Macaca mulatta: one gene and its partners. The protein of the gene in region 3 purifies or fractionates together with the protein of the main gene of each other region. This does not show direct contact. Links are inferred from orthologs where the notes say so. Each region holds a gene or a part of one and is shown on either strand. Other genes may lie near its edges.

Region 1 (7,731 bases), on a different chromosome or scaffold from region 3:
GAAGTGCTGGGTAGTTTCTTAAAAAGGTAAACATGTATCTACCATATGACCCAGTAATGCTGCTCCTAGGTATTTACACAAAATAAATACTTACATTCACACAAAGACTTGTATCCAAATGTTTCCAGCAGCTTTATGCACAGTAGTAGAAGATGGAATGACCCAATGTCCATCAGTGCAAATATGCATTAGCAGTGCTGTTCTGTCCATACAGTGGGCCGTTACCCGGCAAAACCAGGAGCCAGTTATTGACAGTTGAGATAGCATGGATGGATCTCAAAAGCATTGTGGTAAGTAAAAGAAGCCACATGCAAAATATTAAATGCTGTGTAATTCCATTTAGAGGGAATTCTAGGGGCCAGGAGTGGTGCCTCACGCCTGTAATCCCAGCGATTTGGGAGGCAGAGGCAGGTGGATCACCTGAGGTCAGAAGTTTGAGGCCAGCCTGGCCAATGTGGAGAAACCCCTTCTCTACTAAAAATACAAAAATTAGCTGGGCGTGGTGATGGGCGCACCTGTAATCCCAGCTACTCAGGAGACTGAGGCAGGAGAATCGCGTGAACCTGGGAGGCAGAGGTTGCAGTGAGCCGAGATCATGCCACTGCACTCCAGCCTGGGCAATGGAGGGAGAGTGTGTCTTAGAAAAGAAGACAAAATAGAGGGAATTCTAGAAAAGGCAACCAGCAGTGGCAGAAGCTGAGAAGTGGTTGCTGGGAAGGGGCTGGGGGAGGGGTGGCTGCAGAGAGGCATACGAGAATTCCTGGAGTGATTAAAACGCCCTGGGTAATGATTGTTGTCACAATACCATCGCTACACATTTGCCAAAACTTTGCAGGTAAATTACATGCCAACGAAGCCAATTTTTAAAAAGAAGAAAAGGATGCGTTTGAAATCCCAGGTTTTCCCTTTCCAGCTGCACAATTTTAGCCAATTACGTTGCCTCGTTGAGCCTCTGTTTTCTCGTCTGTAACAGGGAACATAAGAGCAGCTGCTTCCCATCATGGCTGGAAGTATTAAATGCGTTCATTCGTGGCAAGGTTTACAGTAATGCCTGGTGAAATCCATATTAGCTATTTATAGGGAGTGTTCCTCTATTTGCGGAGAGGTTTGGGGTAGAGGCACAAAAGATGATCTTACAGGCCAGTTAACCATTCTCATCTCTGAAACGCCCAGCATTTTCCCCACCATGTCTTGGGAGTGGCTTCCTGATGACAGCAGTTCTGTCCACACGAATCTGAGGCTCTCACCCAGCTGTCTTCTCAGAACTGAGCTGCCTGTCCGCTGCCTGTCCCCTGCCAGCGCTTCCCACCACCCCATGGTCATCGTCTACCGGAAAGGCCTTGTGAGCCCCAGGGGAGCAGATACTGGTGCTCTGATTCCACAAGGAGGCCTCTGGGTCTTCCATTTTACCTGCCTGGATGGCTCAGGACTTTCCCGGGCTCTGGGGCTAAAGATTCGGCATCTGAGTTTTAAAACATTTCCCAGCACTTCTCAGAGGTGCCTTCCTGTCCTCGGCACTCCTGTGCTTCCCTGGCCACTCGGGCAGAAGTCATTAGCGCTGCTGAGAAGGGATGAAGCTGGGGTTTCTGTGCACTGAGGCCCTTAATCCGGATGAGATTTTTTAAACTCCCCACAGCCTGCTATGCCAGTTCTATTTCCAGCTGCATCTGCCCCTGGGTCTTCACAGCTCCTCTGGAGGGGATTAGGCAAACCATGCAGCTGCCTATACCCTCACATCTTGAGGGAAATAGTCATTGAATCTCTGACCTCTGGGCTGGCTGTCTCGGACTCTGAGCTGCCAGGGAACCAGGACTTTCCACCCGGTGGGACTGCCTGGGGGCTTTTGAAATGCCCCTGCCTGTCCCCCACTCCCGGAGATGGTGACTTCCTGGGTCTGGGCATTAGGAGTTTGTAAAACTCCCCGATGATTCTTCTGTCCAGTCCAGGCTGAGAACCACTGGTCAGAGGCCTGGGCACATCCCAAGGCTTGTTCAGAATCACGGAGTGCAAGTGACAGAAACAAAAGAGGCTGCTGATTGCCTCACTGAGCAGGTGAAGCCCAGGCTTGACCACTGATTAGGCCAGTTGGACCCAGGAGCTCAGGCCGGAGGATGCCTGCTTCCCTCTGCTCTGTCCCATGGGCCCCAGCAGCCTGGGCCCACATCCTCTCAGTCGGAAGCCGGCTCTCACCAGCTGGCTGGGCTCACAGCCCCACCCTGAAACCAGTAGTGTGGCCCGGGGGGCCCCGCAGGGCTCAGACACCCAGGCCTTGGGTGGTTGAAGGCCAAGAGCTGGGGGCCGTCTGGGAACCACACAGCCTGGAGTGGGAGGGGGTGCTCCTCAAGGGACAATTGAGGCGCTGGCTTTCAGTGGGAGGAAAGGGAATGGCTATGAGCTGGACAGAGCCATTATGTCACCAAGAGAGGCTCTGTGCCCCGGCACCAGGTGCAGACTGTCTGGGCCCAGAGCCTCTGCTGCTTCCCCTCCCGTCCCCCAAACACCAGCCCCTGGCCAGCCTGGCGGCGTTTCCGACTGAGTGTGGCTGTCAGTCCTCTTGCGGGCCTTGCTCCAGCCAGACTCCCGCCTTGGGCCTCTGCCAGCCCGGCACTGATACCCACGGGCAGAGCTGAGACGAAGGAGAGGGCCCCTGGGGAGTATCCGCAGCAGCCAATCCCAGAAGACATCGATGTCAGGTGGTTTCTAGAAATCGAAAGTAGACTTTTCTGAAGCATTTCCTGGGATCAGCCTGACCACACTCCACCCTGGGAGAGGCTTCTGGGTCAAAGGAACAGTCTGCAGAGGGCTCTTGTGGCTGGAAGTGACGGGGCTGCAGCACAGCCATCGCAGCTGCCCCAGCCAGGTAAGCTGCTGCCTCCAGCTCCCAGGTGGGCACCTCTCTCTCTCTCTCTCTCTCTGTTTTGTTTTTTTTGTTTTTTTTGTTTGTTTGTTTGTTTTTTGTGACAGGGTCTCACTCTGTCACTCAGGCTGGAGTACAGTGATGCTATCTCAGCTCACTGCAGCCTCCACCTCCCGGGTTCAAACGATTCTCCTGCCTCAGCCTCCCAAGTAGCTGGGATTACAGGCACGCACCACCACGTCCAGCTAATTTTTGTATTTTTAGTAGAGACAGGGTTTCGCCATGTTGGCCAGCCTGGTCTCAAACTCCTGACCTCTGGTGATCTACCCGCCTCGGCCTCCCAAAGTGCTGGGATGACGGGCGTGAGCCATCGCGCCCGGCCAGGGCACCCCTCTCTCTACACAGGCAAGTGGGGGTCATGCCTCCCTGTTTGCACATAGGCCTGGAGCTGGGGATCCAGGGCTCCTGAGCCCAGCAACAGTCATTGCTGCTCCCAGGCCCACAGGACCTCTGTGTGCAGTTGGGCAGGTGGCTCACTGCACGAGGATACCAGCCAGAGGGCGAGTGGGTTAGAATCCAGGTTGGCCTCTCTCGGGCCTGTGCATTTGGCCTAGGCCTGCACCCACTCCTAGGAAGAGCACCTTTTTTTCTGATTTGCATGAAGGGGCCAACACAGGCAGCCGGGTCTCAACTCCCCGTATGAAGGAATCAGGCAAAAGTCGCCAGCTGCTGCCACCCAGAGGGCGGAACGCCACCTGCCAGGTGCTTCGTTGCCCGCTTTTTTTTTTGAGACGGAGTCTTGCTCTGTCACCCAGGCTGTAGTGCAATGGCTCACTGCAACCTCTGCCTGCCAGATTCAAGCAATTCTGTTGCCTCAGCCTCCTGAGTAGCTGGGACTACAGATGCGCACCACCACGCCCAGCTTCTTCTCCTTCTTCTCCTTCTCCTTCTCCTTCTTCTTTTGTATTTTTAGTAGAGGTGGGGTTTCACCATGTTGGCCAGGCTGGTCTCGAACTCCTGACCTCAAATGATACACCTGCCCCAGCCTCCCAAAGTTCTAGGATACAGGCGTGAGCCATCGCGCCTGGCCACTTGGCCATTTTTCCAAGGCCCTGAGTTACTCTCCCAGGACGGACAAACCTGGTGGCTGCAGCGGAGTGAAGTGGCTGGGGACAGAAGTGGAGAGGGCGTCCACCCATACCGGCGTGCCTGGGACTGAGGGTTTCCCAGGACACAGGGAAACTTCAGTGCTAAAACAAGCACAGTCCCCAGCACACAGGACAGGCAGTCACACCCTGGTGTCTTTAGCCATCTACTGACATTGACGCAGGGAGGAGAGGTGGGCTCCACCGAGCAGACCCCCTGCCTATGGCTGTGGACGTGGAGCCCATTTACCTCTCTGGGTGTCAGCTTCTTCACTTGTAAGGTGGGGTGTAACTAAGGTGGTTCTCAAGGTCACGGTAAGGCCTCCAGTGGTGCCTGGGGAGCCCTGATAAGGGGTGGCTGCGCAGTGCCAGTGAGCGTGAGTCCCAGAGCAAAGCTCTCACCAGCCAGGGCACCCAGCTCCCAGGGTGCTTGTTCATGCAGACTCCCATGCAGAGGGGCTAGGGCGAGGCCAGCCATGACAGCACTTCCAACAAGCTCTGGCGATGCCATTGCAGCCGTCCACCAGGCCCCCTCTGAGCAGCCTCAAGGTCACCAGGCCCAGACTCCCAGCCGGTGCCCACAGCAGTGCCACCCAGAGGCCTGCCCCTGGCTTGCTGAACTGAGGGGACAGTGTCAGGTGTCACAGGATTCTTACCGAGCCAGAGAAGCCATACCTGTCTCTCCATTGGCAGGGTGTGGGGGAGGGAGGTAGGCGAAGACAAAAGCGTGGAAATTACACGGAGGCAAGAACACCAGGCCAGAAGGCGGAGACCCGGACCTCCCCAACCGCAGCCTGAGTGTCAGTGTCTTGGGGATACTTCAGCATTTCCTCCCCGTTCTTCCCCCAGCATGGCCCACCCTGGGCTGCAGCCCTGACCCTTTTCCCCTATCTTCCCCATCCGAACACCATGGAGCCCCGATGTGTCTCCTTGCTGCTTATCTGTCACCCCGGCCCAGCCTCCGTGGCCTCTCCTGACGAGTCCCCTCCCATCCACTCTGCAGGCTGCCTTTGCCTGCTTAGGCCTCTGGGACAGTCCCTGTGGGGGTCTGTTGCCTGAAGATTAAGGCCCAGATCTTAACCAGGCTCACCCGGCCTCCCGACCTCGGCCTGTGCCCATGGCCTCCTCCCTCTCCACCCTCCCCGCCCATGCCCATGTGGCGGCCTTGCCCGGGGCCTGGTTTTTTGAGATGAGCTCACTTGCCTCTAGTCACCGATTCTTGCTGTCCTTAACTGCCAGGGGGTACCCCCAGCCCACCCCTTCATCTAGCCAAGTCTTACACATCCTTCCAGGAGCATGCTGCAGACCAGGTGAAGGGGCCCCTGTGGGGCGCTTCCATAGCACCCATCACACTTACTGGGACCACAGTGGGCTCTGCAGGAGAGGGATCCCGCCTGCCACACAGCCCAGGTCGGGCTGAAGGGTTAATGGGCAGGCCGGTCCCCGGGCTTCGGGCCACCTGGCTCCCGTGCCTCACTCTGCCGCTTCTGTCTGCAGCAGGATCTGGGCATCCAAGCACCGCCATGGCCCCTCCGAGGCTCTTCTGGGTGTGGTTGCTGGTCGCAGGGACCCAAGGTGAGCTGAGCCCCTGGGAAATGCCAAAAGCAAAAGTCTGTGAGGCTGCTGCAGCCTGGGTCTGTGCAGAGCTTCAAGGAGATGCTCTGCCTGGGGCCCGGGGCCCAGCGGTTAGCCAGGTCTTCTCTCCTGCCTGCGGCACCAGGTATCCCAAGTGATGGTGGCTTGGAGGTTCCAGGGGGCTCACCTGGGCTCAGGTGAGATGCAGGTTATAGATAGGACACTAAGGAGTCCTCCATTCTGTCCAGAGGGAACCAGAGGAGCTGGTCAAACCAGCAGTCACCGGGGCTGTGGTGAAGTCAACGGCCTCGGACGCAGGTCAATCTTCCAGAGGGTCCTGGCTGCTTTTCCTCACATCCTTTGCACTGTGAGCCCCTGGAGGCTCACGCTCATCCTGGGGGCCCCACGGAAGCCAGATGTGCCCCCAGCTAGATTCAGGCACCCAGCTCCTGCCCGGCTCTGTCAGCTCCTATAGGGGCTGGAGTGTCGGCAGGCTGAGTCCCAGAAGGACGTGTGGAGTGGGAATCCCATTCTCTGCCCTGGAAACATTCCGCCTGTGCTCCCAGGGGTCCCTAGGCCTGCGCCCCCACAGGCCAGCACCCCCAAACTGCAGACACCCTCGGGCGGGTCAGCACAGGGCCTCCATTCCCCCACGATCCTTCCCCCGGGGTCTTGCCACCTCCATTCCCAGTGCTTGAGAACCTGGGGCTTCTCTGCCCCTGTTCTGTCTATGGAGTGAAGGGCTGAGACCCCTAAAACAAGGAAAGGCGAGTTTAGCCTCCGTGGGGCAGGGGGCTGTATGTATCTTCCACTCCTCCCTCATGGAGAGGCCAGGGGACCTTGAAACCCTGGAAAAGAAGCTCAGCAGGGGAGACCCAGGACAGCATGGGTCCTGGAGGTGCGGGCGGTGGGTGCCGCAGGCCCCAGCCTGGCCCTCGCTCGTCTCTACCTGCAGGCATGAACGATGGTGACATGCGGCTGGCCGATGGGGGCGCCACCAACCAGGGCCGCGTGGAGATCTTCTACAGAGGCCAGTGGGGCACTGTGTGTGACAACCTGTGGGACCTGACTGATGCCAGCGTCGTCTGCCGGGCCCTGGGCTTTGAGAACGCCACCCAGGCTCTGGGCAGAGCTGCCTTCGGGCAAGGTAGGGCCTGCTGTCCCCGTCCTCCAAAGCCGAGACCCACAGCACAGCCAGCTCCCAGGCAGGGCAAATTCCCGAAGATGAGACAGTCAGGTTTCAAAGACATGCAAATTGGATTACTATTAATTTAGCAAGAGCAAACAAACAATTTTTTTTTTTAAACGGAGTCTTGCTCTGTCACCCAGGCTGGAGTGTAGTGGCACGATCCCGGCTCACTGCAACCTCGGCCTCCTGAGTTCAAGCGATTCTCCTGCCTCAGCCTTCTGAGTAGCTGGGATTGCAGGTACTTGCCACCATGCCCGGCTGACTTTTGTATTTTTTAGTAGAGAAGGGGTTTCACCATGTTGGCCAGGTTGATCTTGAACTTCTGGTGTCAAGTGATCCGCCCGCCTCAGCCTCCCGAAGTGCTGGGATGACCACACCCGGCCTAAGAGCAAACACTTTTGATGGCGCTGAAGCCCTGTGGATCAAGTTCCGGTGGGACTGCGTCACCCACACTTGGCCGGTGACGGTGGCAGGTGCTTGGGCAGGTTCAAGAGCTGGGCTGGGCTTGTTCCCTCCGGCCCAGAAACTCCACTCCAGGAGTTTATCCTCTTGAAACAATTTCCCCTCAAAAGAAAAGTCTGTATGCAGGAAGATTTCCACTAACACAGCAGTTGCAATTCTGGAAAAAAAAGAGAAACAATCCACCAACTATTTTGCAGCAGGGATAGTCACACAAATACAGTATGTGCGCCTGATGTTGCAGGGACAGGCACGCAATTACTGTACATGAACGTGATGTTGCTGCAGGAGCCAGTAAGCTTTGTAAGCATGAAGGCTAAGTTTATGGCCTGACGTTGCAATCACAAACCCAGCCCTTGCTGGAATATCCACCGTGGTTCGCCGGTGAAGGACCTGTACGCAGACGGACCCGCACGGCTGGGGCGCGGAACAAAGGGCTGAGTCTCGCTGTGGGACTCCTAGGTGCAGTCATCACACCCCCAGCCCTGCCATCTGCTGTGTCCACA
Region 2 (7,665 bases), on a different chromosome or scaffold from region 3:
TTCAATTAGAAATCATAAGGTCAGATTGATGAAATGACTCAATATAAACTGCTCGACCTTCCACTAGTACATACCTGCTCATTGTAAAACTTATACGAAAGTGTAGCAGAAACAGCCACCCTATTTGCAGTTTTTCTAAGTAACTTGGTAGGTTGAAAGATCCAAGGTCAAAAGAACTTATCCAGTGTAGCAAGTAACAGTAAAATAAGATAAAGTGACCCGGGCACGGTGGCTCATGCCTGTAATCCCAGCACTTTGGGAGGCTGAGGTGGGTGGATCACATGAGGCCAGGAGTTCGAGATCAGCCTGGCCAACATGGTGAAATCCCATCTCTACCAAAAAAAAAAAAAAAAGATAAAGTGATGAAGCCTTTTCTAATATCCCGAAAAACACTTTTCCTTCATATTACTATTGTGCTAAGCACTAATCACCTATCACACTGTCCTGATATTACTCGTCTAGTATTAGATGAGTAATAGTCTAGTCTAACACATTAAAATAGGGGTTAGTTTCTTTTTATAATAGATTGCAAGCTAAGAATTATTTTGACAGTTTTAAATGGTTGGAGAAAAAAACAAAAAAAAAATCTTGTGACATGTGAAAATTATATGAAATTCAAATGTGTCCATAAATAAAGCTGTATTGGAACAGAGTAACATTTATCTCTTTACACATTGCCTATGGCTGCTTTTGTGATTCAAGACAGAAGTGAGTAGTTGTGACAGAGATCAAATGATCAGTAAAGCTTAAATATTTACTGTCTGGCCCCTAACAGAAAGTTTGTGACTCCTACATTGGAGTATAACCTCCTTAAGGATTTGTGCCTAATGATCCTAACTTGTTCACAGCGTAATCCCTGCTTAGCATTGTATCTGACACATAGCAACACTCAAATAATGTTTGCCAGGTAAGTGAGAACAGAATATTAGATGATGCAGCTTCTTCTCTAACGTATTAGCAGCTATATCATCAACCACAGAATGTAGCTACACCCACAACTGCAGGAAGCTAACATATGTTGTTCTTGAACTTAAAAAAAAAAAAAACTTCTAGCTAACTTATTAACCTAACCACTAGATTATAATGAACACTACAATTTTTAAAAGTACATTGCAGTTATATATGCTCCATCATGTATTTCCTCCTTACCTTGTAAAGACAGATGTTTACATTTAAAATTATTTGTAATTATTTACATTTAAAATTAGTTGTAAACACTAGTCAGGAATAACTTACTGGTAATTTTGTTGATTTAAAAACAGAAGGACTGGCGAGAGTTTGTTCATGGAGATTAGAATAATCACTAGGACTTTCAAAAGGATTTAAAACAGGGATCCTTCCTGGAGTTTCTGGTGTTATTTGCATTTTAGATTCCTTGACATCTCCCATAGCACAGAGAGAAAACTAAAGAGAAATCAAGAGTACATATGTTAAAATTACAAAGTCCCATAGATATTAATTTTACCTATTAAAATGTATTCGACAAATGTGTCACAAAAACAACTCAAAACCTAACACTCTTGGGGCTATGATACAGCTTATGAAAAAAGTATCACATATAAATGTTCTCAACTGATCCTCGAAATAACCTTGAAAGCTATAGCAGTAAGTTATTAGTGATATTATTCTGTGAAAGAATTAACAAGCTCAGAGAAGTGAAGTGGCTTATACGCAGCAATCAAATATGAATTCAGATCTAAAGGTTACAACAGGCACAAATCTCTTCTCAACTAAAGGACTTATAGCTACAATTTTTTTAAAATTCATCATCTCACGTCTCAACACTATGAACATTCTTCGGATACCCCATCCAACTACAGTTGCTATTAAACAATTCTTTGTAGCAAGCAGGTAAGAGATGCAGAAGCTTGTGCCTTTCTTACACATGAGTCCTAGCCAGAGAAGTATGATTGACAGGGGCTAGGAAATTAACTGCCTTGAATCCCCTTTCCTCCAAAAATCCTCCTTTCGCCAAGACCTCCCCCTCACCCCTCCCAGGATAGAAAGCGACTCTGCATTATTTCCAATCAAAGGAGGCTACAACTTGGCGGGGTGGGGTGGAGAAGAGTCTACTTCTGTAAGGTTGAGATGCAGCCGGCTTCCTCGGACGGAGCGCCGAGGAGGCGTCGCCCCCCACCCTACGTGGCCACTCTTTCTGGTGCCCCTGTCTTCCACACCTACTCCCTGACTGCTCCCATTCACCAGGGGCCAGCGGGCAGGCAAGTCAGGAGCTGGGAAAAGAAACCTCTCCATTCGGACAGGAGGAAAGGTCAGGGACCATAAAAAACCTACCTACCGGTGCGTAGAAAACGAAGCCCCCAATACCGACTACAGGGAGCTCCCGGGGGCCAAGCCAGCTTCCACGTCAGGCACAGACTCTTTAACTCCCCGCTTCCGCGCTGTCTTGGGCCAACCAGGGCACGGGGCTTGTGAGCGACTGGCCAATCGCGTCGTCCCGCCATCCGCGAACCAACCAATTGCACGGAGGCCGCGTAGAAAATTCGAATAGCAACTCCTGGCTCCACGTTCCGCGCAGAGGAACGAGGCTCCAAATTCAAATCAACGCAGCCTCACGCCGGCGGCGAGCGCGAGGGGCGGAGCCTGCCCGGCGTGAGCGGAGACGCGCCGTGTGATTGCCCGGGAGAGAGGAAGGCGCTCCAGTTCCGGGTCAGGCCCTTCTCCCGCCTCCCTCGGCCTTAGCCATGGCGAGTAGCAGCGGCGCTGGGGGGGCGGCGGCGGCCGCGGCGGCGAATCTGAATGCGGTGCGGGAGACCATGGACGGTGAGTGTCAGTTGCGCTCCTTTTACGTTGCCTGCCTTCCCAGAGCCAAGGCCCCCAGGCGGAGCTGAGCCTGGGGAGGACTTCAGGTCCCCTTCGTGCCCCAAACGGCATCTTCGAAGATCTTTGGAAGGGACCTGCCAGGGCCGCAGGACTGATGGCCCTATCCCTTGAGAGTTGTCTCCGCCGCTGCGTAGTTTGTCGCGCGCGCCAGACGTTGCGGCCCCCTAGTCAGCCGGTTGCGCACCGCGTCCTTCTCGCGCGAATGCCGCGCCCCTTCTATCCCGCGTCCCAGGTCCGCCCTACCCGCCCGATCTCCTGCGGTGACAGCGCCACGCCCACCCCACCCAGTACACCCGTTCCCTCCTGCGCGCCGCGTCCCACCGGATTCCCGCGCAGGGCGCTTCGGGGGTCCCCAAGGTTGGGATCCCCAAGGTTGGGATCCTGGCGGGGACAGGGGCCAGGTGTTTGGTCACCGCTATGCCTCGTGTTCTTCGCACTTAAGTAGGCGGCCTTTAATATCCTGCGAATGATTAAGTTCCCCCCTTCGTCAGAATTATCCTAGTTTCCTCTTGAAGCGGGTGACGCCAGTGCCCAAGTGCTATGGGTGTCGCCTGTTTTCGGCCCTGGAGCCTACACAAGCTCTGGAGCCTACACAAGCGTTGCAGAACACGAAATTAGTGTCTTGCCGATTACCTTCTCTCTACTCTCTAATGCCACTTTATAACCCTGTGGTGAGCTTGGACTAGATACTTAAACATTGAGCCTGTTTGTTTAAAATAAAATCCTGCCTCCAAGAGTTGTGAATATTTAAATAAGACAACCATGTAAAAATATATCAAAGATGATCAATTATTTTTATATTATTTCCGATGTCATCTCTCTTGTAGTCTCCTTTGTCTCCTTTTTACTCACATCCACCTGTATTATGAGTGTTTGATCGATGTTAAATGTCATTTGCAGTGGGCCTAGACGTTTTCCAGAGGCTACTTAAGTCAGCTTCCCTCTCTGTTAAAAGATAACCCTATGAAATTCTAACTCCTGTATCTCTTTCTCCTTCACTGTAGGCTTTTTTTTTTTTTTTTTTTTTTGAGATGGAGTCATGCTGTGGTTGCCCAGGCTGGAGTGCAGTGGCGCAACCTCAGCTCACTGCAACCTCCGCCTCCTGTGTTCAGGCAACTCTTCCCACCCTCAGCCTCCAGAGTAGCTGGTATTACAGGTGCCCGCTACCACACCTGGCTAATTTTTTTTTTATTTTTAGTAGAGACGGAGTTTCGCCATGTTGGCCAGGTTGGTCTCGAACTCTTGACTTCAGGTGATCCACCCACCTGGGCTCCCAAAGTGCTAGGATTACAGGTGTGAGCCACCACACCCGGCCTCATTTTCTTACATAGCCCCTGCAGAAGGGCTGCTGGCTTTTTCTGCACTGGCTGCTCGTTCCTTTTTCAAAGAATTAACATTTTTAGAGACTTTGCATCTAATTTTTCACTTGTTCAGTATCTACCTTGCTGTTTTTCTGAGAATGTTAATATTCAGCCTATTTTTCTATCCTTTTCGATGTATCAACACTTACTAGTTTTATTTTGTAAGTGAATTTATGCATGTGTATGTGTGTGTGTGTGTGTGTGTGTGTGTCTGTGTGTATAAAAATTTACTATCTTGTATGTTTCCTTGGAAAAAGGTAGAGTAAAAGACCTCACTTCTAGCCTGTTTTCTTATGTTAGCTGTACTTAGGTTCCTTATGTATATGGTCGTAGGATCCTATTTGAATAGAAAACTCACATTTTCTCTCTGGTGGAACCACTGATGTACAATTGAGAACTGATGATTTGTGTTGGCTACATCATCAAGATCTTTTCTGAGAAAACCTGGTGTAAAATGAAGATTATAGAGAGAATAAGAGCATGAAAAAGTGAAGTAAAACAAAAAATGAAGGAGAGGGGATGTGGTGTTTCACAGTATTTAAATCAACCCATGAGATCAAAAGTGAAATTTTCAAAACTTTGAGTACCATTTCTCCTCTCAATGGCAGGATTTGTGAACCCCCCCTTTAAGTCATATGAATTGCAGAACTCTTGGCTACATTTGCATTTTGATCATGAAATGGAAGGATTTTGTTAAAGACATGGGAGGCAGCAGGCTGACTTTGTATTAATCAGTTATCTGTGTAGCTCACTCTGAAAAGAACTATCCCTGCCTATTTAGAATACGGTCTGCATGAGATCTTTGCTTTCATCCTTATATCCTTAAAATTCTGCATTCTCTTAAAATAGTCGTGCCTTTTCAACAACACCCCCCGCCCAACCCACTGTGTATGGTTGCCTCCTTTGCTTTTCAGTTTTTTGATATGTTAGGTATTCTCTGTTGATTGCTTTATACTTTAATTTTTGTTTTCCTCTCAAATCATCCTATGCATCTGAATTTTAATTTTGATAGTTATTCCTTACGAGAGTCTTTATCATAACACTTACTTTTTTTTTTGAGACTGAGTCTGGCTGGAGTGTAGTGGCGTGATCTTGGCTTACTGCAACCTCTGCCTCCCAGGTTCAAGCTGGGGATAGGACCCAATTCTCCTGCCTCAGTCTCTGGAGTAACTGGGATTATAGGCGCCCGCCACCATGCCTGGCTAATTTTTGTATTTTTAGTAGACACAGGGTTTCACCATGTTGGCCAGGCTGGTCTCGAACTCCTCACCTCAGGTGATCCACCCGCCTCGGCCTTCCAAAGTGCTGGGATTATAGACTTGAGCCACTGTGCCCGGCCTGTAGCACTACTTTAAATATATATATAAAGTAGTACTATACTTTAGTACTTATATATAGTATATATATAGTAGTACTATATATATACAGTACTTTAGTATATATATAGTAGTACTATATACATATACACTACCATATATAGTATATATATCTATACATACATATAGTAGTGTGTGCATATATATATAGTAGTATATATATTTGTAGTAGTAAGCTCAGGCACCTGTATTCCCAGCTGCTTGGGAGGCTGAGGCAGGAGAATCGCTTGAACCTGGGAGGCAAAGGTTGCCGTGAGCCGAGATTGCGCCACTGCACTGCAGACTGGGTGACAGAGCTAGACTCCATCTCAAAAAAAAAAAAAAAAAAAAAAGGAAACACATTATAGAGAAAGGAGTTAAGAGAATCTATGGTATATATATTCCATTTGACTAGCACTGCAAGGCAGTGCCAGCAAAAGAAACAGGTAGTCCATGCTACCACCATCAATCCAGTTGCACATTTGAGAAAGAAATCTGGAAGTCTGTCTTGCTTTCTCACCTCCTCTGCCTCCTGTTCTTCACTAAGCTCTTTCAATTCTTGACTCATTTCAGGTTGGCTAAATATCTCCTGATCATACTACCCACCCGTCTTTTATCAAAATTGTGATATAACTGGACTTTTTAAAGATTCATTTGATACTCAGCCAAAAAGTCCTTAAATTGCAAATTTGATCTATTCATGTTCCTATTTTATATCTTCCAATAGCTTTCCACAGTTCTAAGATCTTCACTAGGACTTATCTCATATTTTATACCCATTCACCCCATTAATTACATTGCCTTCACAATAGCAGTTCAGGTCTGTGAATTTATTAAGTTCCCTCTAGTGTAGGAACCATCACACAAGCTGTTTTCTTTGCTCTCACCCATCACCCTTCCTCCTGCCTCTGTATTAGTCTGGTTGATTTCTTCTCACCTTTGATGTCTAAGTGAAATTGTAACTTCTTCAGACAAGTCTTTGCTAAACACTGTGTCCTTCCAAACTTGGTAAGATGCCCTTGTAATTTGTTTCAGAAGTATTCCACTCTTTTTCTTTATTTTACTTATATCTGGAATCAGTTATTACTTTAATGTCTATCTCTCCTCCTGGACTAATATCTGTGAGGACCGGGACCATATCTACCTTGTTCGTAACTGTATTTGCAGCAGTAGCATAATAGGCACAAAATACATACAGTTGCAGGTTGATTATCCCTCATCCAAAAACCTTGGGACATGTTTTGGATTTCAGATTTTTTTTTTTAATATTTTCACATACATAATGAGATATCTTGGGGATGGGACCCAAGTCCAAACACAGAATTCATTTATGTTTTATATATGCCTTATACACATAGCCTGAAGGTAATTTTGTTTTATTCCCTCAGGGATGCCGATGAGCTGTGTATTGAGCACCTGCATTTTGACTTTGATCCATTATATGAGCTGTGGAATTTTCCACTATGGTGTTATGTCAGTACTTAAGAAGTTTTGGATTTTGGAGCATTTCACATTTCAGATTTTGGGATTAGGAGTGTTCAACCTGTACTAATCATATAGTGGGCACTAAAGAAATAGTTTTTGATTACAGGTGATTTGTGAAAATAGGAAGTAAAAATAGGTGTCCATTTGAAAAGAAGGCTTAAAGAAGAAATACCGGAGATGAGATGAACTAAGAAAACAGCATTGAGTTATACGAAGGGAGGAGAAAAGGCAGAGGAGAAAAGCATGAACAAAGGCGTGAAGTCAGGAATAAGCATAGCCTTTATAGGTGGGGGGTCTACCATGAAGAGAACAAACTGGACAGAGAAGGGAGAGAATCAACTGAAAAACTGTTAGAAGCATCATAGAATTCATCAAGGTGACTGGTGATTAAAAAGTGTAATATGTAATGTTCCAGTATACTGATGGTAACCACTTAGAATGTACAAGGGCTAAGTAGAATCCATTTATGAAGACAGTCAAAAATAAAGTGAAGATTCAGTATGGTAGATTGAGCACTTGCTGAAACTCTAAGAATATAAAAATAATAGGAAATAGTAAGAAAATGTATCAGGATAGACCTGTTCAAAAGCAAGAAGGGAAGTCCCCGTTGATTAGGAAAAGAG
Region 3 (7,235 bases):
CTCTGACCACACAGGTTAGGGCCTGACCTCGACCCGGGGCAGCGGTGCGGGGTTGGACTCGGCACATCGGGGCCGTCACGAAAGGGTTGGGAAGCGGTTAGCCATCTGGTTCTCATAATGCCTTTTCGAAATTATTTCTGTGCCCTTGGTTAGAAAATTCCAGATGTGCAGAGCCACAGCAAAGCCCTGACGCCACCCGCTCAGTCTGTAGCAGCTGACCGTGATTTACCAGGAGGGAGCAAGGGTGTGGAGCCGCCTCATGCGGCCCAGTTTCCAGTCCACTGCCTCCTGTGTAGACGAAGACAGCTAGGGCCTGAGATCGACCATGTGGAGAATAAAACTTTTAATTTCTATCTGTTTTCAGGAAAATATCTAAATGTGGTCAGAGAGTGTGGCCATGACGTCACCTGCCCGGTGGCTAAAGAGATCATCTACACGTTAAAAGAGCGGGCGTACGTGGAGCAGATCGAGAAGGCATTTAACTATGCCAGCAAGGTGCTGCTGGACTTCCTGATGGAGGAGAAGGAACTGGTGGCACACCTCAGGTGATTCCCTGCTCTGTCCCTGTGCGGGCGCTCGCCTCCCTCAAACCGGAGCCTGTGGGACGTGGGGCTGAGATCGCTGGGTTTCTTCTGGCAGCTCTGCCTTGTCTTTTTGAAAGTGGGCACTGCCAGATGGTCTCTAGCTCAAGGACCTGGCACGCACAGTCGGTGGTGTAGGCCCCGGGTCACCTTGTCCAGGGGCCCCAGCTCCCTTCCTTGCCCAGGGCCCACCAGCCCTTTCTCGGCTCTTCCTGCCACAGCCTACATGGTGGTCGCACAGCCCCTGCCCGAGAGCCAAGCGCTTAGCCCGTTGTGGTGTGTTTTAGCATGATGGCTGTGGCGGGCACCTGCAGGTGGGACGTGCTCACGCCTGCTCCCTGGCTGTGGCGGGCACCTGCGGGTGGGACGTGCTCACGCCTGCTCCCTGGCTGTGGCGGGCACCTGCGGGTGGGACGTGCTCACGCCTGCTCCCTGGCTGTGGCGGGCACCTGCGGGTGGGACGTGCTCACGCCTGCTCCCTGGCGCAGGTCCATCAAGCGCTACTTCCTCATGGACCAGGGCGACTTCTTCGTGCACTTCATGGACCTGGCGGAGGAGGAGCTCCGGAAGCCGGTGGAGGACATCACGCCCCCCCGCCTGGAGGCGCTGCTGGAGCTGGCCCTGCGCATGAGCACGGCCAACACTGACCCCTACAAGGACGACCTCAAGGTGGGCGGGGGCGCCGGGGGCTGCCACCTCAGGCAGGGGCCTCGGAGGGGCTGGGAGGAGAGCGCAGCAGAGGCCAGCCCTGTCCCCCACTCCCCGCCCGGGTGGGGCAGCCGCGGGGTCTGTTTCCTTCACTCTCGGCTGTGGGGGCTGCTTGCCGGGATCGGGGGTCTTCGCACCTGTGCTCACGAGGGGCGCAGGTCTCGGGTTTTCCCGCAGTGCCCTTGTCAGCCTGGGTGTCAGGTTGTGCTGGCCTTGTGGAATGAGTGTGGACCTGTCCCTCCACCTGCTTTTTGAAAGGGTTTCAGGAGTGGTGTTCTTTTTGTTTTTGTCTTTCTGTTGTTGTTGTTGTTGTTTTTGAGACAGAGTTTCGCTCTTGTCACCCAGGCTGGAGTGCAGTGGCGCGATCTCAGCTCCCTGTAACCTCCGCCTCCCGGGTTCAAGCGATGCTCCTGCCTCAGCCCCACAAGTAGCTGGGATTACAGGTGTGCGCCACCATGCCCAGCTAGTTTTTGTATTTTTAGTAGAGAAGGGGTTTCAGCCGGGGGTGGTGGCGGATGCCTGTAATTCCAGCACTTTGGGAGGCCGAGACCGGCGGATCACAAGGTCAGGAGATCGACACCATCCTGGCTAACACGGTGAACGGCGTGAACCCGGGGGACAGAGCTTGCAGTGAGCTGAGATCGTGCCACTGCACTCCAGCCTGGGCGACAAAGTGAGACTCCGTCTCAAAAAAAAAAAGGGGGGGGGTTTCACCATGTTTCGCAGGCTGGTCTTGAACTCCTGACCTCAGGTGATCCACTCACTTTGGCCTCCCAAAGTGCTGGGATTACAGGCGTCAGCCACCACGCCTGGCCGTTTTTTTTTTTTTTTTTTTTTTTTCTGTTTGTTAATTTTTGTTTTTGATAGAGTCGGGGGTCTCACTATGTTGCCCAGGCTGGTTGAACCCCTGGGCTCGAGTGATCCTTCCACCTTTGCCTCCCCAGGAGTGTGTGGATTCTTGGACGTTTGACAGGGTTTGCCTGGGAGTCCTTGGGCCCTGGGCTTGTCTTTGTTGGAGGCTTTTGAGGCGGACTTGGCCCCTTGCTGGCCACAGGTCTGCTCAGTCCCTTTCCTCTTGGTCGGCTGTTCGTCTCGCATCTCGTCTGGTGCACAGTTCATGGAATTCTAGTTCGGCTTTTTATTTCTGTGAGGCTGGTAGTTATAGCCCTACTTTTTCTGATTTTAGTAATTTGAATGTTCTTTCATCTTAGCTGATGTAGCTGGGAATTTGTCGATTTCATTGAGCTTTTCAAAGAACCAACTCTTGGGTTTTTGGACTGTTTTTCTGTTTTCTCTCTTCTGTCATCTTTGTTACTCTTTCTGTCTGCTGCTTAGGGGCTTAGTGTGGTCTTTTTTTAGTTTCTTAATTTGCAAAGTTAGTTTACAGCTGTAAACATCCCTCTGCGCGCGGCCTTCGCTGATCCCCCAGCGTCCTCATTTCTGTTTGTCTGGAGGTGTTCCTGATTCCCTCTGATTTCTTGTTGGAGCCGTGGGTGGTTTATGTTTAACTTCCACGTTTGTGAATTTTCTGGTTTTCCTTCTGTTACTTGTTTCTAGCTTTATCTCTTTGTGGTTAGAGAACAGACTGTGTGGCTTCAGTTTTGTGAAATGTATTGATTTGTGTAGTGGCCCCACATCCATCCTGGAGAGTGTTCCGTGTGCACGGGAGAACGCGCCCTCGGTTCCGTGTGCGCGGGAGGAGGAGGCGCCCTCGGTTCCGTGTGCGCGGGAGGGAGGAGGACGCGCCCTCGGTTCTGCGTGCGCGGGAGGGAGGAGGAGGCGCCCTTGGTTCTGTGTGCGCGGGAGGGAGGAGGAGGCGCCCTTGGTTCCGTGCGCGCGGGAGGAGGACGTGCCTTCGGCCGCTGTTGGGTGTTCTGCAGTTGGGGTCCTGAGGCCCTGTCTTACCTCACTGATCTTCCGTCGGGCGGTTCTCTCCATGATTAGAAGTAGGGCACCGAGTCTCCCTGTCACTGAAGAGCTGTTTTTCTCCTGTCGTTCTGTCTATTCTTGCTTCAGATATTTTGGGGTCTCTTGTTAGAGCAGGAATGTTAATTGTTGGGTCAAAATATATGGCCCTTGTACAACTAGGCTGACCTTGGTGGACTTCGGTCTCAGGACGCTGGGCCACACAGCTGGGGGCTGCTGTCTGCACACCTGCGAAAGCCCCCGTCTTGTCTGCTCCATGGAGAAGTGACATCAGGGGTTCATTTCTACGTTCCTGATGGTCGGCGATTTCGTCCGTCTGCTGCTTGTTTCTTCTTGCTTTATCCTCTACCCTTCATTTTCTGTCCTGTCGTTGTGTGATGGTTTTGTAGGAACTCTGTCAGGTAGTTGGAACTTAGTAAGTACTTGAATGATTAACGTGAGGACAGTATTACTTGTCCATAATAACTAGTATATCCCTCATCAAATATGCTTTCTTTTTCTTTTTTTTTTTTTTTTTGAGACGGAGTCTCGCTTTGTCGCCCAGGCTGGAGTGCAGTGGCCGGATCTCAGCTCACTGCAAGCTCCGCCTCCCGGGTTCACGCCATTCTCCTGCCTCAGCCTCCCGAGTAGCTGGGACTACAGGCGCCCACCACCTCGCCTGGCTAGTTTTTTGTATTTTTAGTAGAGACGGGGTTTCACCGTGTTAGCCAGGATGGTCTCGATCTCCTGACCTCGTGGCCGCCCGTCTCGGCCTCCCAAAGTGCTGGGATTACAGGCTTGAGCCACCGTGCCCGGCCTAAATATGCTTTATTTTTCAACCTGGGCCTGGTGCTTATCGTGTACTAAGGTTTCCGTCCTAAGGAATCACCTTTCTTTCACCATCCCAAGCGTTTTTCCCTTACACCATCCACAGCAGCATTGGGTATTTACAAAGTACTTCATCTGAATTTCTCTTGTTTTGTTTTGATAGGAAGTGGTTCAGTTTTGAATTTGATTTATCAGTAGACGTTTGGGTTTTCGAAAAGCCTCTGAGGTTTAGAATCGGAATGTAGGGAACCTTATGTCAGTGCTGGGCCTGTGAGCGTGAATGGTGTCGGGATGGGACTTCGCGTCTTTTCCTTAAAACAGGATGCTTTGTTTCATTTCCTTCCCTCCAAGATCGACCTGATGCCCCATGACCTCATCACTCAGCTCTTGCGTGTTCTGGCCATCGAGACCAAGCAGGAGAAGGCGATGGCCCACGCCGACCCCACAGAGCTGACGCTGAGTGGCCTGGAGGCCTTCTCTTTCGACTACATCGTCAAGTGGCCCCTTTCACTCATCATCAACAGGTGCGGGTCGGCCACTCAGGCACTCGCTAGGTGTTCACTCAGGTTTGGCAGAAGCGAGAACTGTGCCACCCAGTGGCCACCTCGTCCCACAGAGGACCCAAGGCGGCTGTCCCCGGCCTTCAGTGCCCGGGGGATTCACGGGCTGTCCGGGGGCCACCGTGCAGACTGTGGAGCACAGACACCGTGTGCACGATGCCACCTGTCATGGAGGCCCGCCTGAGGTGCCACTGCCTCTCTTGCAGGAAGGCCCTCACTCGCTACCAGATGCTCTTCAGGCACATGTTCTACTGCAAGCACGTGGAGCGGCAGCTCTGCAGCGTCTGGATCAGCAACAAAACCGCCAAGCAGCACTCGCTGCCCTCCGCCCAGTGGTGCGTTCCTCCTCTGTCCCCGTGTGCCCTCCTGGTAGACAGCTCTGCTTTCTAGGCTTCTGGAAACGTCATCTGGAAGCGCACGTTTGTAGCTTTAGATCCATAATGCTTCATTTTCCTGTCTTGGGGCTGCGCGGCGCTGCCGTCCACCCCTCAGGGCATGCTGGCTCTGTCCCTCAGCCCTCTCTGGAGCCTTGTGGTGACTGCACGGGCATGGAGACCACCCAGGTCAGTGTGCAGGACAGAAGCTCCTCCCGAGAGCGGGCAGCCACATCTTGCTGGAACCAGAGGTGCTTTGCTGCTGGTCTGTGGCTCTAGGGTGTTGAAAAAAGGGGTCGATGGCAGAGCTGCTTAAGAATTTGTCCAGTCGGGTGCGGTGGCTCCTGCCTGTAATCTCAGCACTTTGGGAAGCTGAGGTGGGAGGATTGCTTGAGCCCACGAGTTTGAGACCAGCCTGGACAATGTAATGAGAGCTCATCTCTTAAAAAAAAAAAAAAAAAATGGAAAATTGTTTTAATGAGCTGGGAATGCCTGTAGTTCCGGCGACTCAGGAGGCTAAGGTGGGAGGATTGCTTGAGCCCAGGAAGTCAAGGCTGCAGTGAGCCAAGATCCAGCCACTGCACTGCAGCCTGGGCGACAGCAAGACCCTGTCTTTCAAAAAAAAAAATTAGATGAAAAAGACGTCATCTCAGTCATGAAGCACAAATGTGCATCTGCCGTGTGGCACCTTCCTGGTGTGGGCTCCTGGGGCTCCAAGGAGTCCGTCCACCAAGGAGCCCGCATCCCAGTCTCCACTGTCCGGCTGGCTGGGGGTGTCCCTGCGGGGCACAGGTTGGTAGACAGTGACAGCTTGTGCTGGGCAGACACAGGAGCAGCGGCCACGTCTGATGGACTGGGAGAGGCACCTGTTTTGCAGAGGAAACAGCCACATCCACTGGGTGCCGTCGGGGCCACGTCCTCCATGGCTGTCCTCCGTCCTCCGTGTCACTCAGGTTTGCCGGGGCTTTCACATTGCGGCAGCGAATGCTTAACTTCGTCCAGAACATTCAGTACTACATGATGTTCGAAGTGATGGAACCGACCTGGCATATCCTGGAGAAAAACCTGAAATCTGTGAGTTTTAGCTCCATAGATCGTAACAATTGAAAGCCAGTTTCCTTTCACATAATTAATGTGAGGGAGACAGGGAGGGCAGGAGAGGCAGGGGAGGGGAGAGGCAGGGGGAGGGGAGAGGCGAGGGAGGGGAGAGGCAGGGGGAGGGGAGAGGTGGGGGGAGGGCAGGAGAGGCAGGGGAGGGGAGAGGCAGGGGGAGGGCACAGGCAGGGGGAGGCCAGGAGAGGCAGGGGAGGGGAGAGGCAGGGGGAGGGGAGAGGCAGGGGGAGGGGAGAGGCGAGGGAGGGGAGAGGCAGGGGGAGGGGAGAGGCGGGGGGAGGGCAGGAGAGGCAGGGGAGGGGAGAGGCAGGGGGAGGGCACAGGCAGGGGGAGGGGAGAGGCAGGGGGAGGGGAGAGGCAGGGGGAGGGGAGAGGCAGGGGGAGGGCACAGGCAGGGGGAGGGGAGAGGCAGGGAGAGGGGAGAGGCAGGGGGAGGGGAGAGGCAGGGGGAGGGGAGAGGCAGGGGGAGGGGAGAGGCAGGGGGAGGGGAGAGGCAGGGGTTCCCTCCGGGGCGGAGCTGTCCCAGCATTGCTGGCCACACAGGGGACCCCTTGCTGCCTGCCATCATCTGGGGACTCTGAGCCGTCATTGCCCCCAGGGTCATCCCTTTCACACTGCGCATCTGAGGCTGAGGGGCCTGAAGGCAGACTCTGTTGTTACCAAATTCTAGAAGCAGCCGCAGCCTCCCTTCCTGTCTTCTGCCTTAAGAACTGAAACCCCTTCGGGACGTGCCCATCATTTTTTTAGTGGTATTTGGAATTTTCCCCCTAAAAGCCCAAGGCCCATTTAAGAGGTGGAAATGCGTGAACAGGAATGCGCAAAGCCCGAACTGAGCACGTGCGCACGCGAAGCCCGTCTGTCGGCCACGTCTTTCTGAGAAGGGGCTTGGTCTGTTCCCCAAAGGCCTCCAACATCGATGACGTCCTTGGCCACCACACGGGCTTCCTGGACACCTGCCTGAAGGACTGCATGCTCACCAACCCTGAGCTGCTGAAGGTCTTTTCCAAGCTCATGTCTGTGTGCGTCATGTTCACCAACTGCATGCAGGTGCGTGGCGTGGGCGGCACCATTGGGTGGGCAGACCGTATCCCGACCGCGGTCGCACGCAGCCTGCTCACCTTTTCCTGCCCTTGTGTGGGTGGAGGAGCCGCTGGGATCTGAGTGTT

The links. The genes of interacting proteins can lie anywhere in the genome.
Region 1: the proteins of TUBGCP2 (region 3) and LGALS3BP purify together in Homo sapiens (affinity purification with mass spectrometry; 3 studies listed by BioGRID and IntAct, counting the BioPlex papers as one, with this or other methods). This does not show direct contact. The link is inferred for Macaca mulatta from reciprocal best matches to the Homo sapiens genes TUBGCP2 and LGALS3BP.
Region 2: the proteins of TUBGCP2 (region 3) and MZT1 purify together in Homo sapiens (affinity purification with mass spectrometry; 4 studies listed by BioGRID and IntAct, counting the BioPlex papers as one, with this or other methods). This does not show direct contact. The link is inferred for Macaca mulatta from reciprocal best matches to the Homo sapiens genes TUBGCP2 and MZT1.

The regions. Positions count from the first base shown.
Region 1 is NC_133421.1:88,659,714-88,667,444, reverse strand, and holds the start of LGALS3BP (galectin-3-binding protein), read left to right. Parts: upstream 1-2,725; 5' UTR 2,726-2,860; exon of another isoform or gene 2,861-2,885; intron 2,886-5,499; 5' UTR 5,500-5,525; coding exon 5,526-5,577; intron 5,578-6,532; coding exon 6,533-6,782; intron 6,783-7,628; coding exon 7,629-7,731.
Region 2 is NC_133422.1:67,478,478-67,486,142, reverse strand, and holds the start of MZT1 (mitotic-spindle organizing protein 1), read left to right. Parts: upstream 1-2,659; 5' UTR 2,660-2,702; coding exon 2,703-2,781; intron 2,782-7,665. Other genes in the region: BORA (protein aurora borealis), read right to left, coding at 1,237-1,389. UniProt on the Homo sapiens protein: Required for the recruitment and the assembly of the gamma-tubulin ring complex (gTuRC) at the centrosome.
Region 3 is NC_133414.1:145,381,471-145,388,705, reverse strand, and holds part of TUBGCP2 (gamma-tubulin complex component 2), read left to right. Parts: intron 1-364; coding exon 365-545; intron 546-1,069; coding exon 1,070-1,250; intron 1,251-4,373; coding exon 4,374-4,546; intron 4,547-4,788; coding exon 4,789-4,917; intron 4,918-5,909; coding exon 5,910-6,030; intron 6,031-6,972; coding exon 6,973-7,116; intron 7,117-7,235. UniProt on the Homo sapiens protein: Component of the gamma-tubulin ring complex (gTuRC) which mediates microtubule nucleation.